Linked DNA regions of Drosophila melanogaster. The protein of the gene in region 1 interacts with the protein of each later gene in a pairwise test. Each region holds a gene or a part of one and is shown on either strand. Other genes may lie near its edges. The genes, in order: Mal-B2 and CG17109.

Region 1 (5,023 bases):
AGACTGGGTTAAGAGCAGAACGAAATGAAACGCAGCGGGGCATATAGACAGCAAAATATATATACTTTTAATCCGATGAGAGATCCGGTTCAACGTGGCGTATGGGTAATGAAATTTTTAAATTTCGTGTGAATCGGTTAAGAGCCGAGCAATTCTTAATTATATCGTTTGTCGAACTGAATGGATACATATCGCTTAATGATTTTAAGTTTTACTGAAAATAACTGGGATTAAAGGTTTAAGAAAGAAACTTAATCGCTGTGCTATTTAAATAGTAGTAGTTTTCTCATTTTCGAGCTAACGGAAAATTAATGAAATTGCATGGAAGTTAACAACATTTTTGTAATTTTCCGGCCATTCGCAACTATTAACTTCTAATCCAAACAACTTCCATTTGCTGGCAAAATATTTGTACAAGCATCGAGCAATCAAAAGTTTCCAACAAGTTTGCCATAGTTGCCACTCACAAATATTAAATTCAGTTATTAAAGGACATTTAAAAACTTTTGCATGTGGTATTATATTTTGTGCCGTCCTTGCGACATTTCCGCATGGGTGGGAGGATTCTGCACCAGTTCCATAAATCTTTCTTGGTTCCTGTGTGTGTTCTTCCTCCATACATGAAAAATTACAGTGACCGGGCAAGAATGAAACACCAACATCAACAGCGGCCAAGTGTTCTGGGCAAGTTGCCAGGAACAGGCGACGTTGTGGCCACTTTTTTCCGGACAGGATCCGGACCACACTGCCCCCTTTGCCTTCATTACCACTGGACAGCGTTCAATTCAATCGAGTCAAACGAAAAAATGTACCAGCTCGAGGGTCATTAATTTTCCCCCCATTATGTATTCAATCGCGTGACATTTTGAACTGGAAATGCAATTAAAGAGCAAAGTTTGCCGCCATCAGCTGGTAATTCCTCTAATCCCATTCCCGGCTAGACCAGCCGACAGACGAGACCCTCACGGGCGGCCAGGAGCAATGCACTTGCGGCGAGGGATTGACTGCAGCGGGAATACAGAAAGAAAATGGTAAAAGGGACATTGAGATTTAAGGGAACTCTACATTGATGTTCTTCGAATATTATTTAGCTTTTTACGATTGTTTTTTACGGTGCAAAGCGGGAAATGAGTGACCACAATTCAAAGGAACAAACTTACCCAGGTTGATATTTGGAATCCACGCCGGAAACTTCAACCACTAGTTTCTTAGGCTGGCTAAGAAACTCTGAGAGATCCACCAACTGCTCCTTGTCGCTCACATTTATCACGGTAATTATCGACTCAAAATTGGGATAGGACCTGCAAAACGGTTTTCCAATTAATCAATGTCTCTTAAGGGCAAATTTCGTTCATCTACCGCTTAAAGGCAAACACCCAACGAGTAAGGGGTTCAATATTAAATCGGCCCACACGCATAATGGCCGATTTTCGCAGCTCAAGCAGATCCTTGTAGACCTGGTAATGGCTCCTGTTGGCCACCTTCTGGGCCTCAAGGTTGAGCTCGAGGTAGTTCGGGTGGACAGGCAGCCAGGTTTTGGCGGCAGTGGAAAAACCTGTGCGAAAAAGTTAATGAGACATATTTAAATTATAATAATAATATCAATGGCTTACCAGCATTGGTCTCGTTATTCCACTGGAACGGTGTTCGGACTGGGTCACGGGAGACCTCCTGGTATAGCTTCTCTCCAACATTTCTGGCCGGTGGATCCACCGTTTCCTCCCAGCTCAGTTCGCGGTAGTCCACCATGCCCAGCTCCTCGCCCTGAAAAGTGTAGGGGTAAAGCCAAAGGACCACAAGCAACCAACCAAGTCAGCAACAAAATCTCACATTATAAGTGACGGCGACACCGGGAAGGGTGAGCAGTAGCATGTTCATGGCGTCCACACTGGCTGGACCGAATCGAGAAGCGACTCGGGGGTTGTCGTGGTTGCCCATGACCCAGTTGGCCGCGTGCCCGCGTGGCATGTAGATCAGCCACTTCTCCACGTTGTAGACATAGTCACGCGCATCCGAGTCGCCTTTGACATCCGTGATAAAGTGAAAGTTGAAGGGCAGATGGGAGCCCCGAACCCCGTTGGAATCCTCGTAGTAGTCCGCCAGCTGGGTTAGTCCTGCGTACGCCTCCGTCATCATGATGCGTGTTGGTCTTTCGGGGTGCTTGGCACTAAAGTCATCCAGCAGTTGCCTCCAGTGATGAATCATTTCCAAGACTTCTGGCAGATCTCTCGAGTAGATGTGCTTAGTGTAGTCATAGGAAAGTGAATCCGTTGTTTTGCCACTCAATGGCTCATCTTTAAGAGATTCGTCCTCAAACAAATGATTCACTGCATCGATGCGGAAACCAGCTACGCCCTTGTTGAGCCAGAAAAGCAACACATCATCCATGGCCTGAACCACTTTGGGATTGCGATAGTTCAAGTCCGGCTGCTCCTTGGTGAACTGGTGCAGGTAATACTGCTCACGACCTTCGTGCCACTCCCAAGCGGATCCGTAGAACACCGATGGCCAGTTGTTGGGTGGCACCCGAGTGCCATTCTCCTGGACGATGCCATCGTGCCACACATAGAAATCCTCGTAACCCGGCTCCCTTGCCGCAGACTTCTTGAACCACTCATGCTGATCCGAGCTGTGATTCGGCACAAAGTCCAGAACAACCTTGATGCCCAGCTCGAAAGCCGTGTCGATCAGCTCCTCGAAATCCTGCATGGTGCCATACTCCGGCTGGATTGCCTTGTAATCCGATATATCATAGCCAAAGTCAATCATGGGCGACTGAAAAATGGGACTCAACCAGGTGGCCGTGATGCCAGTGTCCGCCAGATAGCGCAGCTTGGAGGTGATTCCTTTCAAATCGCCGATACCATCGCCATTGCTGTCCTTGAATGACCTCGGGTAGATCTGATAGAACACCGTGTGCGGCCACCAGTCGATAAAGTCCTCCGTATCGCTCTTAACCAGACCGGCCATAATGGAGCCGGAGTTTAGTAGACTAAAAAGAAGGATTTGGATGAGTGGAGCGCGCATTGCGGCGAGGTATTCTATTTAATGTGCTCGAGAGTTGGCAGTGCGACAGGCACTTTTAAAGCGATTCTACCATATAATTAAAATAATTTTTGCATTAGTCTTTGTCTAATTATCAGCAGTCGTATTAAAGCTATAATTTGTTGTCAGATTTTTATCAGCACCAATCAAAACAAATTGCGGTGCAAATTAAATGAGTAAACAAAATTGTTTTTCCCAATTTTACGGCATTCTGCACTTGCCAAGCCAATCGGTGGAAAACTAGGTGCTTTTTATAGACACTTCGCCGACCAAAATCACTATGCTCACCTCAAGGAAATTAAAATAAACTGAACACAATTATAATTCTCGATGCGTTTTTAGCATCTGCCGGCGGCGATCAACTCAAAGCTTTTGGGGAATTGGATGCCAACAGCTGTTCGAGAGCTTTGGATCCACAGACGATTGGAGAAGATCACAATGTACAGAACTTTCAGGTGGCAAATAAAAATCTCGAGAGTTTTAAGTAATTTTATTAATATATATAAGTTTTAAATAAAATATATTTTTTGTTTATAAATTAATTCCATTGAAGCCTTAGAGAGTAGGCAATTATTTATTTAAACTTTGTTTCTTCTTTGCCTGTATTGTGGTATGTAGTATGCAAATTTTCTTTCACTGTACTGTAAAATAGTGAATTGATGAGAAATTAAAATTTCACATTGTCAAGTGTAATCACAGAAACAACGCAAAAACGAACCAAATACGAGATAACATCAGAACATTGTCATAAATTTTGAATAATGCCTTTGCTTTGAGAACACCTACCAATCAACTAGTTTATAGCATACAATTGCAGTGAGAATTAAAATCAAAGCAAATTTTAAGGTCGTCAACCACCGCTAAGTGGGAATTTAATTAAATTCGGCAACCATTTGTCAAGCGGCCTGAGCCCCCGAAAAGGGCCAAAAAACCTGACGACAATTATGAATTACGACTTGGAATTAAAGTCGAGGCCAAACAGTACAGGGAAAGTGCCCCAAAGTGAGAAGTAGAAGGTCCGACACCAAGTGCTCTCAATTCAATTAAAATGTTTGCAATGCGCTAATGTAAATGGAAATGTGTTCCGCTGTCAAATGAAATGGAAACTCGATTAGATGGCCCCTGTGAGATACATTTAAATACGAAAATAGAAAAGCACGGCTGGTTGGCAAATGGAAAGTTTCCTCGTACTTTAATGTGGAATTCCAAGTAGTTCGCCGCTTACTTTCGCTTATTCAGCTGAATAACTAATCCCTCGTTGGGCGCCAATTCAATTGTCTCGGCCTTAAGTCGATCCCCCACCCGGTGTTGCGAGTCCACTCCCGCCACAAGGACACTCAATCGATTGGGCTGTTCTATAAAGTCCGCGATGTCAACCAGTTCAGTGCGGTTGCTCACGTTCACAATGGTCAGCAGAGTGTGCTCGTTCTTCAGTTCTCTGATAATATAGAATAAAGGTCAAAATACATTAAAATGTCAATACAACGCCAATATCCATTCCCTACTTACCGCTTGAAAGCGAAGACCCTGCGATTAACCACTTCTGGAACAAAGGATCCGTTCTTCAGAACTGGCAGTTGTCTGAGCTTCAGAAGGGACTGATAGATCTTGTAATGACTTCGCCTCGCCTGCTGCTGATTCCGAAGATTAAGTTCCTTATAATTCGGATTGACAGGCAACCAAGTGCGATCGGCGGAGGAGAATCCTGCATTCACATCACTACTCCATTGCATGGGAGTTCGCTCAGGATCTCTAGAAATCGTCTTGTAGTTGTCGATTCCAGCCTCACAAGCGGGCTGATCCACCGTATCGCTCCAGCTGATGTCCCTGTAGTCAGTCATGCCCAACTCCTCGCCCTAAAGTAATGGAAAGTCTGTATAAAATTATCCTTTAATAATGAGTGTTCTGTACCCACATTATAAGTAATACCAATTCCTGGCAATGTCATCAGCAGCATATTCATGGCGTCCACAGATTT
Region 2 (6,100 bases), on another chromosome or scaffold:
TCCACTTGCGAGGTGCGGAATTCAGTCAGTTTGTTGACCAGATAGTTCAGTTTTACTCCTGCCGTATTGGGTAGCAAAAGGGAACCATGACCAGAAGTTCCACTGACTTTCAGCTTGAGTCCTGCATAAAGCGAAACGGTAATGTCCCCAATCCATCATCATCATCCTTATGGAACTTACCCCATCGCAAACGTTCGGCGTAGAACAAATGATGAACGTCACTTTCACTAGTGGCGCCTTCGTCCAGGCTGAATCCCGCGTTCATTTTCTTGTAGTAATCCGTCTTAACAAACTCCGCCATGCCCAGATGACCACCAGTCTCTTCGTCGGGAACAAAGGTCACATACAAATTCCTTTTTGGTTTGAAGCCACTAGCTTTCAGCAGGCGAATCGCTCCTAGATACTGAGTGCCCACCGATTTCATGTCCTGAGTACCCCGTGCAAAGATCCTACCCTCTTCATCAATATCGGCGGAGAAGGGTTCATGGGTCCACTTCTCTCGAAAAACTGGCACCACATCCGTGTGAGAGTTGAGAACAATGGACGATAGTTCGGGTTGACTTCCTTCCCACTTGATGATCACAACGGGCTTCGTTTGAACAGCAGGATAAACCACTTCAACAGGAAGATTTAGGGAGCTAGCCTGACGTTTCAGGAACTCCACACAGGCAGCTAGACATTGAAAGACATTATAACGCAAACTTTAAAGAATTAAAATTAAGTCCTCACTATAGTCAACATCTGGATGCACCGTTGGTATACGCAAGTATTCCCGGAAAATCTTAATTTCCTCATTGTTTTCCCACTTTTCCGAGCTCATTTCGACACTCTTCTGTCATCAGCAACTGAGCTGCAACAAAGATTGTCTGTGCTTTTATAATCACACTGATTGCTTTCATGTTTATGGTCAAGGAATTTAAATGCTTATCAAAAGTGTATGTGGTTGCGATAGTAACGCCCTTATCTGCAAAACCCACACGTCTATTATCCGAATAAGTAACTTTTCTAAGCGGCAAATAGTTCATTATGTATTATCTATGCAACTTACACAGAAATGAGTTCATTGCGTATTATCTATGCAACCTCAACCTTTGAAACCTCAAGTTCTTGGTAAGTTGTCATGTATTTTTCAATATTTTCCATCATATCGTAAAATTATGACAAATTCAATTAAAATGACGAAGCTTTGATTGATGACCTTCGATTTGAAAAAATCAAGTGATTATTTTGGATTTAATGGGCTTCCCAGTCTTCCAACTTGCTATCTATGATGATACAGCAAAATGTAGATACATCCATTATCTACTTGCTGTCGCAAGGATAGCAAGTTGTATTCTTCAGATCTTAAGTTGATTAAGGTATTCGTTGAGATAAGATAAAAGGCCAGGAAGTTTTGTACTAACTTATAACAAAATCATCAATCTTTATTTTGATAAGGTTTTCATGTATTATTTCGATTTAGTTTTTAGACATTCGCTAGGTTGCCCAAAATTTTCTTGTATATTTGAATGCCCTTCAAATAAGTTTCGGCGCCCAAGAACTCATCGTGATCATGGATGCGCATGGTGGTATTTTTGATGGGTGAGAATCCCAAGGCTGGAATGCCCTGAGCTCGAATGTTCCTGCTGTCGGTGGCACCGGGGCAGACAATGGGGTAGATCTTAAGGCCACTATAAACATACAAATCGTATTAGGAACACGCATTGTTGAGCATTCGATTCAGACTTACAGTTCATCGGTGGCAGCCTTGAAAGCCAGCCAGAATGGATTGGAGTCGTCGATCTTTGTGGGTGCCACGTAGGGTTCCTTCTCGTCGAAGGAGATCTCGATGCCGCCACCTGCCTCCTCGCACCAATCGTGGATCTGTTTCTCAAAGGCAACCACATCCAGGGTGATGGACAGACGCATGTCGAAGACAGCCTCGAAATGAGGAGGCACCACATTGCTCTGGACTCCACCGCTCAGCTGGGTGAGATTGATAGTTGTCACATCACCGATGTTGATTGTCTGATCATTGGCCAGCCTCTGAACCTGCGATTCGCGGAACTCCGTCAGCTTGTTGAGCACATAGTTCAGTTTCACGCCGGCAGTGCTGGGCAGCAACATGGAGCCGTGTCCAGAGGTTCCACTGAAATTCAGCTTGAGACCTGCCAAAGAGGGGATATAGTTTAGATTCTAGTCCTAGATGTGTCTCAAGGATTACTCACCCCATCGCATACGTTCGGCATAAAAGACATAGAACAGATCTATTTCACTGGTGCCGCCCTCGTCCAGACTGAAACCAACATTCATGTTGCTGTAGTATTCCGTTTTGACGAACTCCTGCATGCCCAGCTCGCCGCCGATCTCCTCATCGGGCACAAAGGTCACGAAGAAATTGCGCTTGGGCTGGACACCACTTGCCTTAAGCAGGCGGATGGCACCCAGATATCCTGTGCCCACCGACTTCATGTCCTGAGTACCGCGCGCAAAGATCCTGCCCTCCTCATCGATATCGGCAGCGAAGGGATCGTGGGTCCACTTGTCACGGAACACCGGCACCACATCCATGTGCGAGTTGAGAATGACGGAGGGCAGCTCCGGTTCGGTGCCCAACCACTTGATGATCACCACAGGCTTCTTCTCCACTGGATATATAACATCCACGGGAAGATCCAGGCTGTGAGCCTGCCTTTTCAGGAACTCCACACATTCGGCTAGAAGTTAAGATGTACATGAGTAGTGCTCTTCTGTGAATTCCTTGGGGAATCCTTACTGTAATCCACATTTGGCTGCACCGTAGCTATGCGCAAATATTCGCGGAATATTTTGATTTCCTCGTTGTCCTCCCACTTTTCGGTGCTCATTTTGTGGATATGTTTTCGCTGCCAGTCACCAAACTCGAATGTGCCGCAGTTGGCAAAAAATGAACTTATACAGAAATTTTTGTGTGTTGGGTGATTTTGGTTTTATGGCCTTGGCTTCGTATTATTATCAAATAATGAGTTCGTTATCAAACTCGGTTGTTATAGAAATGATAACAGCACATATTCTTGTACAAAATTCTACCAAAACAAATGTCTAATAGCAAACGGTAGCCAATTCGATAAAGTTCACATAACACCAATAAAACTCAACCACCGTCGTTTATGGTCTGCGAAAAAATGGGTTATTATAATTTGTATTTGGTTTGATAAGAAAATAGAATACATATTAATGTAATTATTGATAATTATGATGTATATATAAAATACAACCCCTTTACGTGAAGGTTACGTTAGTTTTTGAGAACGATATCAATAGTTGTGACGATTTATTGGATATTGAATGAGGGCAAAGTCCATGACAAAAACTCTCTTCTGAAACTCGTGTTATCAGTGTGTGATTTTCATTTGTTTAGAAACAGATATGATTTGTAGTAGTCACACCATTTAAACATTTAATTTTGGTCCTACACTCATCGAGCCAAAAACATTACTCATAAGCGATAAGACCAATTGTAGCATATTGATTTCCATTTATGAGTGGAACTTCGCTTGAACATTTTATGAATCAGCAATAGAGGGGATGAGCTTCCTGTACACCTGAATTCCGTGCAGATATGTGTCGGCCCGCAAATATTCATCATGATTGTGCAGCAGCACCGGGGTGTTGTTGATGGGTGAAAATCCCAGAGCGGGAATTCCCACTTGCCGGACGTAGAAGCTATCGGTGGCGCCGGGGAAAACTCGTGTATGGGTGATCAAACCTCTGGAAAATTTCAACAAATTATGAAGTGAAAACTACACAATCTTTGTTTACCTACAGTTCATCTAGTCCCTTTTTGAAGCCCAGCCAGTAGGGATTGGAGTCGTCTATCTTGGTCACCACCGAGGGGCACTTCAGCGTGAAATCCAGTTCCACTCCACCACCGACTTCGTTGCACCACTCGCGAATCTGATTCTCCATTGCATCGGCATTCTGGTTGATGGCTATGCGAATATCAAAAGTGGCTTCTAGTACGGGGGGAACCACATTGCTTTGGACGCCACCGTTGAGTTGGGTCAGGTTCAAAGTGGTCACATCACCGGACTGCAAGGAGGAGTCCTCGGCCAGTAGCTTGACCTGGGTTTCTCGGAACTTCATCAGCTTATCCATCACAAAGTGAAACTTTTCGCCAGCCGTGCTTTTGTGCAGCAGCGATCCATGACCTGAAGTGCCACTGAATTTAAATCGAAGTTCTGCAGGGGTATAAAATGAATCAGAATATATTGCTACTGATGCAAATGGAAGACTTACGCCACAATGTACGCTCGGCGTAAAATACAGGATAAGTGTCATCTTCACTGGCGATGCCCTCGTCCAGGCTAAAGCCCACATTCATGGCTTTGAAGTAATCACCCTTGACGAATTCAGCCATGCCCATGTGTCCGCCAGTTTCCTCGTCGGGCACAAAAGTCAAATATACGGTCCTTTTTGGCTGATAGCCACTGGCTTTGAGTGCACGGACCGCAGCCATGTACTGACATCCCACGGACTTCATGTCCTGGGCACCGCGTGCATAAATCCGGCCTTGGGCGTCTATGTGGGCACCAAACGGCTCATGGGTCCACTTTTCGGGAAACACGGGCACCACGTCCATGTGTGAGTTCAATATAATGGATTTCAGCTCGGGATGCTTGCCCAGCCACTTCATAATCACCACCGGTTTCGAAGGCACAACAGGATACACCACGTCCACGCGGAGATTAAGTTTGTTAGCCTGGCGTTTTAGGAACTCCACGCATGCAGCTGCAAGGGAAATAGGGATAACAAAATCCAAGGAGCGGAAAAACAAATCCTTACTGTAGTCCACGTCTGGATGCACCGAGGGAATGCGCAAATACTCCTGGAAAATGATTATTTCCTCGTCGTTCTTCCATTGTTCCGTGCAAGTGCACATTTTGAGTTGAATGCCCCGTGGTTCTAAAGGAACTGACTTGTAATCCACCGTGCTGTTTGGTTTGAAGTCTGAGTGTGGATTGACTTAATGGCATTATCAGTTGTTGACTTTAAGCTACTTGATTAGAAGAGCCCACAATTTGCGGATTTTCATCTTTGCGCTAAGAGCTTAATGTTATCTAGCAAAGCCATAATAGTAAACCATAAACTTATTCATTTTCATTTAAATTTCCTTTTTTTGCTCACCATTAATGGTATGGACTATGGACTGGCTTATTTATTCATACATTGTTTATTTAAATGGGTTTTTATAAGCCTGCTTGTTTAAAGTTATTACAATAAACATCGACAAGTAAGCATTAAATGCATTATTTCATAATTGAATTGAGTTCGCTAAGCATCAGCTACGGCAGGAATGAGCTTCTTGTAAACCTCAATGCCGTGCAAATAGGTATCGGCTTTCAGGAATTCATCGTGGTCGTGCAGCAGGATGGGGGTGTTGTTAATGGGCGAGAATCCTAGAGCTGGAATGCCTGCGTAGCGAATATAACGACTGTCCGTGGCGCCGGGGAAAACACGAACCCGTGTCTTGAGGCCACTGAAAGAAACAAGGAGAAAGGATATCAGAGCCATGCCTTTTGTCAGAGCTTCTCATCCTTACAGGTCATCGAGTGCTTTCTTAAAGGCCAGCCAGTAGGCATTCGACGAGTCAATCTTTGTTGGCTCCACAAAGGGGTTTTTCATCTCAAACTCCAGTTCAATGCCGCCGCCAGCCTCCTCGCACCAGTCGCGAATCTGCTTCTCAAAGGCAGGGATATCCACGGTGACGGCAATGCGGATATCAAATACAGCTTCCAGCAATGGGGGAACCACGTTGCTCTGGACTCCGCCCCTCAGTTGGGTGAGATTCACAGTGGTCACATCACCAATTTCGAGGGATGAGTCGTCAGCTAGTTTTTGCACTTGCGATTTGCGGAACTCCATCATTTTGCCTACCACATAGTTCAGCTTCTCGCCAGCAGTATTCGGGAGCAACAGTGATCCGTGACCAGCAGTTCCGCTGATCTTGAAACGAAGATCTGCAGGAAAACATGGCTAGCTTAAATTGTTTGTATGAGTCAATCCTACTCACGCCAAAGAGTCCGTTCAGCGTAGTACAGAGCGTAGGTTTCATCCGCACTAGAGATTCCCTCGTCGAAAC

The links.
Region 2: the proteins of Mal-B2 (region 1) and CG17109 interact in a two-hybrid assay, tested with the Drosophila melanogaster proteins (one large-scale study listed by BioGRID).

The regions. Positions count from the first base shown.
Region 1 is NT_033779.5:11,848,359-11,853,381, reverse strand, and holds Mal-B2 (maltase B2), read right to left. Parts: upstream 3,076-5,023; 5' UTR 3,028-3,075; coding exon 1,831-3,027; intron 1,765-1,830; coding exon 1,614-1,764; intron 1,556-1,613; coding exon 1,360-1,555; intron 1,302-1,359; coding exon 1,161-1,301; intron 1,005-1,160; coding exon 938-1,004; 3' UTR 501-937; downstream 1-500. Other genes in the region: Mal-B1 (maltase B1), read right to left, coding at 4,267-4,483, 4,555-4,901, 4,961-5,023.
Region 2 is NT_033777.3:23,092,479-23,098,578, reverse strand, and holds CG17109 (uncharacterized protein), read right to left. Parts: upstream 2,890-6,100; 5' UTR 2,847-2,889; coding exon 2,756-2,846; intron 2,697-2,755; coding exon 2,208-2,696; intron 2,148-2,207; coding exon 1,730-2,147; intron 1,671-1,729; coding exon 1,466-1,670; 3' UTR 1,339-1,465; downstream 1-1,338. Other genes in the region: CG6733 (uncharacterized protein), read right to left, coding at 1-121, 181-672, 730-820; CG17110 (uncharacterized protein), read right to left, coding at 3,525-3,729, 3,785-4,199, 4,258-4,749, 4,804-4,900; CG6726 (uncharacterized protein), read right to left, coding at 5,293-5,497, 5,561-5,978, 6,032-6,100.